3 linked regions of the Danio rerio genome follow. The protein of the gene in region 1 purifies or fractionates together with the protein of each later gene. This does not show direct contact. Links are inferred from orthologs where the notes say so. Each region holds a gene or a part of one and is shown on either strand. Other genes may lie near its edges. The genes, in order: sin3b, gatad1 and suds3.

Evidence for each region.
Region 2: the proteins of sin3b (region 1) and gatad1 purify together in Homo sapiens (affinity purification with mass spectrometry; 5 studies listed by BioGRID and IntAct, with this or other methods). This does not show direct contact. The link is inferred for Danio rerio from reciprocal best matches to the Homo sapiens genes SIN3B and GATAD1.
Region 3: the proteins of sin3b (region 1) and suds3 purify together in Homo sapiens (affinity purification with mass spectrometry; 3 studies listed by BioGRID and IntAct, counting the BioPlex papers as one, with this or other methods). This does not show direct contact. The link is inferred for Danio rerio from reciprocal best matches to the Homo sapiens genes SIN3B and SUDS3.

What each region holds. Positions count from the first base shown.
Region 1 is NC_133183.1:15,973,350-15,977,645, reverse strand, and holds the end of sin3b (paired amphipathic helix protein Sin3b), read left to right. Parts: intron 1-2,059; coding exon 2,060-2,258; exon of another isoform or gene 2,259-2,541; intron 2,542-2,654; coding exon 2,655-2,888; 3' UTR 2,889-3,689; downstream 3,690-4,296.
Region 2 is NC_133194.1:46,813,757-46,817,896, reverse strand, and holds the start of gatad1 (GATA zinc finger domain-containing protein 1), read right to left. Parts: upstream 2,808-4,140; 5' UTR 2,724-2,807; exon of another isoform or gene 2,633-2,723; 5' UTR 2,597-2,632; coding exon 2,417-2,596; exon of another isoform or gene 2,271-2,416; intron 1,113-2,270; coding exon 990-1,112; intron 901-989; exon of another isoform or gene 632-900; intron 541-631; exon of another isoform or gene 267-540; intron 169-266; exon of another isoform or gene 1-168. UniProt on the Homo sapiens protein: Component of some chromatin complex recruited to chromatin sites methylated 'Lys-4' of histone H3 (H3K4me), with a preference for trimethylated form (H3K4me3).
Region 3 is NC_133180.1:16,231,114-16,235,286, reverse strand, and holds the start of suds3 (sin3 histone deacetylase corepressor complex component SDS3), read right to left. Parts: upstream 2,941-4,173; 5' UTR 2,831-2,940; coding exon 2,719-2,830; intron 378-2,718; coding exon 308-377; intron 1-307.

The sequences.
Region 1 (4,296 bases):
AATGAGGAGGTTTGCTGAAGGTGCGCAGCTGTTGTGCAGTGAGGTATTTGCGTCTTTAATAAACTATAGCAGTTTTCGTTCACTGAATAGTAGGATGATTAATAAATCCATATGAAACAGTCCCTTAAAAGTCACGTCTCGCTTTCAGTTTCGGGCTTTGGCGCGTTTTGCACTCACACACAAGCGTACCGCGCTCAGGCCCATCTCTTCCAACCGGGCCAGGGCTGGCCAAGTGAACCATGCCTGAGCCCGATTCAGCGCACTCACACTTCTCAAACGATCCGGGAAACAGGCCTAGGCATGGTTCAGATAGCATAGTGTGAGTGCGCCCTTAATGACTGTATCGGTACTTGCCAATCTGGCCGATCACATGAACTGATCGCAGGGGTTTGTTTATAAGTTTACAAGCAGAGGAAGATACATGTGCGCTCCTGTATGTTACGCATAGCCTACAGCAGCTATGATAGTCTTTTTGTTCCAAGTGCAATCATTGTATTTGAAAATATTTAAATGGTCTTTAGACCTTTTTACATATAACAACTAAATGTTATGTGTTTTTGACAATATTGCAAGTTCACTTAAAGCTGGCTGCAAAATTAGATAAATAAAACTTTAAAAATATATTTTTTTCTTAAATCGTTAATAATATAACATCTTGTAATATACTTATTGCAAAACACACTAGTTTATTAGCCTATTGCATTTATAGGTGTGCATTTTAATTTCTTATGCATCAAATATGCGTTTTAACTTCTTTTTTTATTGAGACATGTTGAATTCTCCTTTCATCATTTGCAAGGTTTCTAAGTTGCAATGTTTGTCATTTTTTTAAACACTTTTTATATCTGTTATTATTTTCTGTAAAGCTGCTTCTGGCCATGACATGTCCACACTAAATGGTTAAGAGAGACATGTTTATGGTATTATTTGCAGCATTCTTAATTTATTCTCTTAGATAAGGCGAGATCTCCACTTAAGTATCATACTTAGAGGGAAAATGTGCTTAATGCATTATAAAGCTTTAAGCATTAGAATCTGTACTAGGTATCGGCCAATCACCATGACAAAATTGGTACTCGTTAACGACTGCAAAAATCCTGATCGGAGCATTCCTAGTGTCACAGCAAGAACTTTGCAGGACACCAGCCCTCCAGGACTGATTTTGGGCACCACTGTATTAAATGATTCATCATCAATTGATGGAAGTCTAGTGACTGTATATAGAAATACACACCCAGATAACATATCAGTACTTGTCTTCAAGAAAAGACTAAAAACTCAACTATTTAGTCTCCACTTTCTTTCGTAATCTGCAATTGCCTCTCTGGCTGTACTACTAACTGTACTCAAAAAAACAAAAAATAAACTTACATTACTAATGCTTTGCTTCTTAGACTTTACACACCTGAAACTTGCCTACAGCACTTATTCATTGCTGCTCTTATAGTTGTGTAAATTGCTTCCTTGTCCTCATTTGTGATTCGCTTTGGATAAAAGCGTCTGCTAAATGTCTAAAAGTAAATGTAGTACTCCGTATTGGCTGATACACTTAGACCAGGTATGTGCAACAGTAACAGAACCAGAAAAGGCTCAATCATGTTTTTTATGTTGAGGTTGGCCATAGCATGGTATAGATAATCCCACCACTATGCCCTTGTTATTTTAGACCACTTTTGTTATCAAATTATCATTATGGTTTCTAAAATCAACTAGCAAACTGGAAGCAAAACCAAGCTTTTTTATGCATCTATTTAAATACAGATTAGCTCTTTTCAATGGTGCATGTATTTAAAGCCCTGTTAGTATAAACTCTTGCTATATGGTTTCTGTGAAACATGGAGAGAACATAAGCACAACTCAACTAAACCCTAAACCCTATGCCCTTAGCCATGGATTGATGGGGAAATATTTTAATCTGAGAAAAATGGCAACGTGTATTTTTCTAGAAGAAATGTTGATTGTATGCTTTGTAAAGCATGGCAATTTGTAACGATCTCTTTAAGTCTGCTAGGTTGCAGCACGTTGACAGTTGTTCTGCATCCCTCTGTGTCTCCTGCAGGAATGTGAGACATTTCCGTGGCTGGCAGATCAAGCAGGTTGAAGCCATGCGCTGCCGGAGAGAGTGGCATAGAAAGATGGGTGTAGAGACAGCCGGAAACCTGGACTGCCGATTCAAACTGAACACACACAAGATGGTGTTTGTGATGAACTCCGAGGACTACATGTACCGCCGAGGAGCCCTGGTGAAGGCTCGGAGGGTATGTAGATAAAATACAAAACAAGGCCTATATAGTATGTATGTGGTATGGGCAGGACAGCAAATTTGATGTTTTTCTCTTCTCTTATCTGGCTGTCATTATCAGTCACATTATACTTGTTTTCCTTTTTTGAAATTCTTGATAACCCCATTGTTGAGTGTTTATTATTTCAGCAAATAGGATTGTAAAAATATTATTTGTTGTACTCTTCCATTCACTGTGCTCTAAGTTTACCCATCTATGATGACTTCCTTTACTGAATAACCCGGAAATGTGAAAAAAGGTCCATTTAAGTGTTATTTTCTTTCAAAAAAAAAAAAAAAAAAATTCTGACTCAAGCATTTGAATGGCATTGCATTTCTTTATGTCTTAATGTTGTCCTGTTTCTGATTGTAGTCTCAGCACAGAGTAGCGAGGGCTCAGCACGAGCGCTTTGAGCAGTGGCACCGGGGCTGGCTGAGTGAACACGTGTCTCCCGCCGCCGAGCGCAGTGTGCAGGATTGGCTCATGGGAGAAGAGGATGAGGACATGATACCCTGCAAGACCAATTGTGTGTCCCTGCAGGTCAAAGGCTTGCATGTCAACAGGTACCAGGTGCACTACAACAGCAAGGCCCCCGCCTCGCCGTAACAACCTCACGCCTTCAGATGGAGTTTTGTGATCTCTCTCTCTTTCTCTTTCTGTCTCACTCACTGATTCATTCTCACGGCCGAGGTCAAGTACTCTCAGCCCAAACACAGCATTTAAGGAGGACAGACAGCTGCTCAGAGGAAGAAATCCTCATCGACGAGCATCACATCTCAACACTAGTCCATCATGGCCGATGCAGTTATCAGACGTTTCAGAAATGTGAATGTCAAAAACTTTTTTTGTTTGTTTTTTTTTAAAGAAAGTCCATTGTAGTTTTTAGCAACTGAAAGCAGAGTTTGTTTTGTTTATACTGAAGTATTGAGAGACTAGGTTTAAAGTATGTCTGCAAACATCTGTATGTGTCTTTTTGTACAGTACAGTCGACTCAAGAGCTCGAGCAATTGCATATATGCGGCAGAAAGATTATTCCGTGTGCATTTCCTTGGCTATGAATGATGACCTGGAAAAAAATTATGTTTTCTCTGGCGCACACTGGTATCCTATCCGTAATGTCCTTGTTTTAGTTCTCTGTTTTGTGTTCTTTGTTTTCATCGTCTCTTCTAACTAAACAGGATTGCCGGTGTCGTCCGTCAATCACTGCTCATGATTTATAGTCCATTTTGTTAAATCTTTCAGATCATGTATCATATCGATCTCGCCAAATCCTTGCTTTTGTTTGGTGTAATTTTTACATATTAAAACAGAAAATGACAAAATATCAGTGTTTTGAAAAAAGAATGTATAACATTTATCCTGTATCAGTTATCACAAAATAAACAACCTAGTTGTGCAGTTCTTAAAGAACGGGTTACGATTCTTGCTGAATTTGACATTAGCTTTAATTATGCTGCATTATCCCTTTTTGATCATTTCTTTGGTGACCCTTTTTCATAGAGATGCTCCGATCTGAATTTTTGCAGCCGATACTGAGTACCAATTTCTTGATCGGCTGATACCAATTACTGATTCATATTCTTCAAGCTTTATACAGTTTTGCCATTGTATAGGCACAATTACCCTTTAAATATGAGATCTCACCTTACCTAAGATAATAAATAAAGGATGTTGCATACATGTAATGGTCAGAAGCAGCTTTACAAAAAATAAATAAATAAATAAAATATGGTAAAAAAATTACTAACAATGCAATTTGGAAACATTGTTCATGTGTTGTAGCGCTGCTGATGTATAACCCAGGTGCGCACATGCATCTTCCTCTGCTTGTAAACTTATAAACAAACTCTTGCGATCGGTTCATGAGATCGGCCAGATCAACGAGTACCGATCGAGTTGTGAAATGTGATTATCGACAAATACCGATCTCCGGCCGATCGATCGGAGCATCTCTACTTTTTCATTTTAATCCATATTTGAATACTTAGGTGTAGGGCTGCACGATATTGGAAAA
Region 2 (4,140 bases), on another chromosome or scaffold:
ATCTGCTGCAGGTCAAACAGAGCATCAGAATGGGGAAGAAAGGTGATCTAAGTGACTGTGACCGTGGCATGGTTGTTGGTGCCAGACGGGCTGGTCTGAGTATTTCAGAAACTGCTGATCTACTGGGATTTTCACGCACAACCATCTCTAGGGTTTGCAGAGAATGGTCTGAAAAAGAGAAAATATCCAGTAAGCGGCAGTTCTGTGGGTGCAAAAAAAGGGTCAGAATTTGGCATCAACAACGTGAAAGCATGGACCCATCTTGCCTTGTATGAACGGATCAGGCTGGTGGTGTAATGGTGTGGGGGATATTCTCTTGGCACCCTTTGAGCCCATTAGTACCAATTGAGTATCGTGTCAACACCACAGCCTACCTGAGTATTGTTGCTGACCATGTCCATCCCTTTATAACCACAGTGTACACATCTTCTGATGGCTACTTCCAGCAGGATAACGCACAAAGCGTGAAATATCTCAAACTGGTTTCTTGAACATGGCAATGAGTTCACTGTACTCAAACGACCTCCTCAATCACCAGATCTTAATCCAATAGAACAGGGGTGTCAAACTCAATTCCTGGAGGGCCGAAGCCCGGCACAGTTTAGTTCCAACCCTGCTCCAACACACTTACCTGTAGGTTTCAAACAAGCCTGAAGGACTCAATTAGTTTGATCAGGTGTGTTTAATTAGGGTTGGAACTAAACTGTGCAGAGCTGCGGCCCTTTTGGAACTGAGTTTGACACCTGTGCAATAGAGCATCTTTAGCATGTGATGCTATCATGTCAATATGGAGCAAAATCTCTGAGGAATATTTCCAGTACCTTGTTGAATCTATGTCATGAAGGATTAAGGCAGTTCTGAAGGCAAAAGAGGGTCCAACCAGGTACTAGTAAGGTGTACCTAATTAAGTGGCCAGAGAGTGTACATTTCATGTGTAAGAAAAGGACACAGGACACCACCAAGGAAAAACAAACCTGATTAAAACTCACATTTTTCAGTTTGAATATATGTCGTCTTCCTTTTCCTTTGGTGGAGACTTTTTTTTCAGATGCCGGTGCTTTATACTTAGTGCTTCTTAACCTAGCAGAGCGTCTGTGTATTTCCTGTTTGGACTGCAAAGAAAAAGAGAAAACACAAGTGGTTTCATTTAGAAATACTGTCCATATATTAAACTTACCATAAAAATATGTATAAAATACATACAGTTTAAGTCAAAAAATTCAATAATTGGAATAATTCTTTTCTTTTTTAAATATTTTTACAGAGCAAGGACATTTTCACAGTATGTCTGATAATATTTTTTCTCCTGGAGAAGGTCTTGTTTTATTTCAGCTAGAATAAAAACAGTTTTTAATTTTTTAAACACCATTTTAAGGTCAAAATTATTAGCCTTTATATATATATTGTTTTTTGATAGTCTACAGAACAAACCATCATTATACAATAACCTGCCTAATTCCCCTAACCTGCCTAGATAACCTAATTAACCTAGTTAAGCCTTTAAATGTCACTATAAGCTGTATAGAAGTGTCTTAAAATATCTAGTCAAATATTATTTACTGTCATCATGACAAAGATAAAATAAATCAGTTATTAGAAATAAGCTATTAAAACTAGTATTTTTAGAAATGTGCTGAAAAATATCTGCTCTCTGTTAAACAGAAAATGGGGGGAAAATATACAGGGGGCGAATAATTCTGACTTCAACTGTGTATATAATTAAAAAATAAAAACATATTGGAATAAATAATGCTTGTAAAATAAAGTCTTATCCAAAAGTACATACATTTAAATTATTGTATATGCCTATATGATTAAAATAAATCTTGGAAAATATCAGTAAAATGTATTTATAGCGCCTTTCACAGTCACAGTGCAACACAGCAAAATAAATTACTCTCTTATTTACGTTAGATTTATTTTAGTCTTATTTTTAGACAAAAATATCTAAAACAATAAAAAATTGTCTTGTTTTCAGAAATAATTATTCTAAATTAAGTGAGTTTTCCCTAAAAAACAGCAAAAATCAACATTATTTTGCTTACCAACGACTGCTTTGCTTGTTTTAATGTAAAATACACTTAGTTTTTACTAATTATTTCTGAAAACACGACATATTTTGTTTTTGTTTCAGGAAAACGCTTCTGGATTTAACAATTTTTAGATATTTCGACAAACTTTAAGTCAGAAACAAGACAGTAAGAAACGCATTTTTGCAGTGTATTAAAACATTGAGGTAAGTTAACGTTCAAGTGAAAATAAAACCTTACCCCAATGGAAAAAAAACATACATGAACACACCGATTTAAAATCTAAGTACAAACACCATAACAATGTATAACCAGCCAGCCACACTGTTGATTAAAATGTACGTTAGCAGTTAAAGAAATGTTATTAATTAAAACAGCTTTCGTACCTGTTTCCCTCCGCCATTATTCTGCTGGATGGTGGAAGAAGCAGAAGCTCCGGAGCCGCCGCTGCTTACAGCTTTACCCGTGCAGCCATTACACAGAATTTCCCCCTGGTTTCCCTTTTTCCACATGGAAGAACTTTGTGTTTTGCACACAGCACAGCATGGTTTTAAACCAAGAGGCATGTTTGCTAACACCAGTCAACGCTCCTGCAGCTATCTCTGAAGTAAACCGTTGGATTTTTTCAGTTGAAAAAGCGAATACAGTCTACATGTATCAACAAATGCGATTTTGAAACAATATGACCCTTACTTTAACCTTAAATAGAGATCCTTCATTATTAAAACAATGAATGATAGGTCCCGTATGTTTTACCATGATAAAAAAATAAAAAAAACTTCCGGTGGACGAAAGTGCGAACTTCAAAATAAAAGTCTTGCTTAGGAAGAGTTCGTATTTTTTCAAAGTAAAAGTCTGCGTTAGTGTCTAATAAAATATAATTTAAAATACATTATTTCCCTGAAATAAAACAGATACAGTGAATAAAAAGTATTTCATCCCAAAAAAAAATCTAAAATGTTCTGATGTTTGATATCTGTGAGTTGTTCTGTAGAGGAATATGTCTGTAAAGTGTTTTTTATTAAAAACACTTTACACTGTACAAACTCTGTCATTGTTCTCAGCCCAACTGAACCTACAGCTTTAATAGTTTTCTAATACTAAAAACTGTAATTTAGAAGAAAAACATTTAGAAATAGGAAGTTTAAGTTTTTATAATCCACATCAATTGATTAAAAAAACATTAAATTATAAAAAAAAACCTACAAATATATAATACAAATACATTTACAATTGTCCCCATGTTTCTGTCAGTCCTGTCACATTTACATTAAATTTAACATACAATGTGTGCAAACACGTTTAAGGCTATGACTCGAAAGTGACATCATTTGACAGAGAAAAAGCTGACGGTGTTCAAGGATGCACTTTATCATTGAATTGTAAGATTTTTTGAGGATGACAAGCTTAAGACAGGTCCTGTCACATTTATTTATAAGTGAAAATCTATTCTATATAGATTCTGATGTTTCTGATAGAATGACCCTTAAACTTCTAGAGGGCGCCGTTCACTGTCGTGAAATTTTAGGAAAGCATGTACACTGTTGCGTTAGTTTTACCATGAACCACAACAAATAAGATTGAGTTTAAAACCTTTTAATCCGAGCAAACCTTTTCCAATACTTTCTGTTTACTGGCTACACATCATACAAACTGGGAATGTATCAAGTATAGTCTATGAATGTGCAAATGACAATTCAAGGAAAAGGGTCACATTTAAAATAACAAAAGAATTGAATTAACTTATATAAAATACCACCACCAAAAACACTTCAGTAAAATAAACAAAAACATAAAGCAAAATCCATCCATTTCTACACAAAACGTTCAGGTTTAGATGTAAAAACTAGTCATCACTTATAAAGAAAGGTGAATCATCTAAAGTCAAAAGAGTAAAAATTAAATGTAAAAGTCTTATATCTATAATAAAAAAAAAAACTAAGTAAATGCACCAACTATTCGTTTTCACCTTTCATTATACTTATATTAATGTCTTCACAGAGTAAATCATAAACCAAAACATGGCGACCTGTTCAGTGTAATACAAAACAAAAGTCTCTTGTCAAAATGAACCAAACACTCTCGATTTGATTTGAGGGGAAAGTTGATT
Region 3 (4,173 bases), on another chromosome or scaffold:
GTAAGATTTATTTATTTATGGTTTAACACAATATCAGCATCAAAGGCAATTTTAACATATGCAATTTTCAATATAATAATTCAAATCTAATTTTAATTAATTGTACAAATAGCATTCTTTACAACATACTTATATAGATGTAAACATACACAATTAAATAAGTAAATACCAATATAATAACAGTTATATACAATTTTTCAGATGTATGTCAGCCAGATAGACAGAGAGATATAAAAATAGCTCTAATGTACAGAATCCCTTCACATAAATCATAAGTGAATGGTAGTCAGTCAGAAGGAATACTTACTGCTCTTTGATTTCGACATAGTCGTCCTCATCATGTTTGGCAAGATCTGTTTCACTGGCATCTTCTGTGTCTATAACAAAACAATAATAAAAAATTCAATAAGAGCAATAGAATAATATATGGTACATACTGACGACACTTAACTGCACTAAAGCTAGAAATGATCCCACTGAGTTTTGAACATAGATTATTCAAATGACTTGTAAACATATATAGCGCCATCTAGCGGACAGACAGTGTAGTTTAAATATATTTATATGGTAAGTGAGTCAAGTAGTTTACACTAGCTATCTTATTTATTCATTCATTCATTTGTTATCCTTCGGCTTGGAGATTGCCACAGACGAATGAACCGCCAACTTATCCAGCATATGTTTTTACACAGTGGATGCCCTTTCACCTGCAATTCAGTACTGAAAACATCCATACACTGACACTCTCATTCACAGACATACACTATGGACAATTTAGCTTACCCAATTCACCTATGGCATATATCTTTGGACTGTGGGGGAAACCGAAGCACCTGAAGGAAACCCACGTCAATACCAGGAGAACATGCAAACTCTGACCCAGCTGGGACTCAAACCAGCTACCTTCTTGCTGTGAGGCGACAGTGCTAACCACTGAGCCCCTGTGTCGCCCTTATTGAATTCAAATTATGTTATATTTTATTTGTGATCAAATAAATGCAGTTTTGGTGAGTGATTCTTATACTAACTAATTATTATAGGGTAATATTGTATTTTCCAATGTTTATTATTCCAGCCTAAACCACGGCGAATGAAGCTCTGCACAAGACTTTTGGCCAGCGGAGAAATTAAAATGGTCGTGCCCAACTGAGTCTGGTTCCCTCAAGGTTTTTTTTCTTCACTCCCATCAGGTGAAGTTTTTTTTCCCTCTCCGCTGTCGCCACTCCCTCGCATGGTTCAGGATTGGTAGAGCTACGCATCGATGAATTTGCTCTTCAGTGTTTGAACTCTCAGTAATGATTAAATCACACTGAACTGAGCTAAACTGAACTGAACTGAACTTAAACACTAAAACCTGAACCACACTGTTCCAGTTACTATGACCATTTATGTGAAGCTGCTTTGACACAATCTACATTGTAAAAGCGCTATACAAATAAAGCTGAATTGAATTGAAATGAATATTAAGGTTTTATTTTAATGTTTAAATATTTTAATTATATTTTAATTATTAGCACCCCTTTGACTTTACTATATATATTTTTTTATATTTCTCAAATTATGTCTAACAGAGCAAGGACATTTGCATATTATGTCTGATAATATTTTTTCTTCTGGAGAAAGTTATTAGCCCCTTTAGGCTATATATTTTTGATAGTCTACAGAGTAAACCATCATTATACAATAAATTATCTAATTACCCTAACCTGTCTAGTTAACCTAATTAACCTAGTTAAGCCTTTAAATGTCACTATAAGCTGTATAGAAGTGTCTTGAAAAATATCTAGTCAAATATTATTTACTGTCATCATGGCAAAGATAAAATAAATCAGTTATTAGAAATGAGTTATTAAAACTATTATGCTTAGAAATGTGTTGGGAGAAAGTTCTCTCCGTTAAACAGAAATTGGGGAAAAAATAAACAGGAGGGGCTAATAATTCTGACTTCAACTGTATATGTGGTGAGGGAACATTTGATATTCATCAGTTCTTTATTTTTCTCAAAACTGGATGATGAACTTTATATGCATTGAGGATGCTGGCAATGCATAATAAAAACAAAGCACGTTTCTACATTTTCCGGAGGTTTCTATAGACCCAAGTTAAATACAAAACATTTTTGAAAAGAAATTGCATTCAAATACGATTGTAGTTCAAGACTGATTTGATTTTCATAAATATACGTTAATATCAAATCTTTACAACACCACTAGAGCCTACATCTGAGCAAGTAACCAAACCAAATATTAGCAACTACAACTAATCAGCTTTTAATATTCTACTTTGAATGCAAGAACGTCCTCTGATACATCTTAATACAAATAAGTGGGTCTCATTTTACAAGCATTTTAACAGCATAGTAACTTCATGCTTCCTGACGTAACGTTATGCTAACTCTGCTAGCTGTTTATCAACAGGCTGGAGAGCACAAAAAGCACAAGTATGACAACATTTATAGCCATTATGTAGTTAAATTCCCACACAGTCCCTATTTACGTCTAAAACGATCACAATAAACATAAAATAATTCAAATGAAGTTGCAAAAACCCAGCGAGCATACAAGTCGAAACACATGCATACACTTTCATTACGTTAACATATATCGGCGCTCAAACAGCTATCAACTTACAGGTTCACAACTAAAATGATAATTTTAATCAATAATTTATTATATAATTGTATTAAAATGTAAACTGGCTATTTTTGTGCGTATTCACCTTCTTCCGAGTCTCTGCCTCTGAAACTGCGATCTTCATCTTCATCAACGCTATCTAGCTCTTCCTCGTCGTTATAATAATCCACCATGGGTGACAATAAAGTCGAGGCCATTTATTAGTTTAAAATATTGATAACACCGCAGGAAACACCAACGTGTAAACAATCACACAGCACCGACAACGTTTTCAGTCTGTCGAGCCTCTTCTTTTTTTCAACGGGAGGGTAGGCCGAGGAATCTGATTGGTCGAGATGCTCGAGCAGCGCATGATGGGAAATGTAGTATGAACCGCTTGTGCGCAATTATGACATAAGGGAAAGAAGAAATGGGAAGGGGGAGAGAGAGAAAGAGAGAGTACTCTGTCCGCGTATTGTTCTTATTATCATTCAAGGAACAAGAAGAATTTCTGAAGTTAATAAGGCTAAACACTTCTCAATCATGAAACCTTATAACGTTCAGGTAAGCGTACGGAATGTCATTTTGAAATGACTTATGAGAAAAGACATGCTCATCTATATTTTAGTGTCGCTATTTACGTCTGTTGAATGAATGACACAGAACGAGTTTCATTTTCATCTCACAGACTGCTTTGGCTACGGTTTTCTTGCCCATTCACAAACACCGAATGTTTGTTTTTAATCATTATTGACATTGTTTCTGACGAACAAAGTGGAATCAACTGTAAGTGAATTATATTTAATATTATTTTGGAAAAATATAAATATTAACTGTAGTAAAATAATTACTGTATTCAGTATTCTGACAGCCTCTCAATTGTATTGCGTAATCTACTACTACTGCTGCTGCTAGTACTACTACTAGTCTAGGTTCCTTCAACTATTACTACTTTACGAATGTAATAATATAATAATAATATAGTCTAAAATATGATATAGAGAATTGTATAATAATAATAATAATAATATTAATAATAATTCGTTTAAGAAATGCAACAACAATGAACAACATTTTACATTGATTGTAAATAACAAAGCAACAACAAAGCTATTTAAAATAAAATATAAAAGCTAACAACACTTATTTAGGGATCTGTTATCGATTTACATATTTAACTAATAACAGGTGTTATTAAATGGTTTGATGGTTTGATGAATTAGCAAGAAAACCAATCCAACCTCTGCTTGTTCAATCTAACTACACATAAATTGAATACTATATTATATTGACTGGACAGGTGAAATAATTTACGGTAAACCATCTATCTAATTATCATTTGACTGTGTTATAATCAATTTTCTGATAGCTACTGTCATTTCTATTGTGTCTAGGGGAGTTGTTCCTCATCCAACCGGCAGATGGCGGCGTTGAGTTTAAAAAGCGGTTTGACTCGCGAGATCGTTTATCAGCGCTGTTACCTTGTAGCAGGTACGATGGGTTTTTAAAAGCGTCAGATGCTTGTCAGCTCTTTGTCAGTCGCGCGGGGTTTATTGCGACA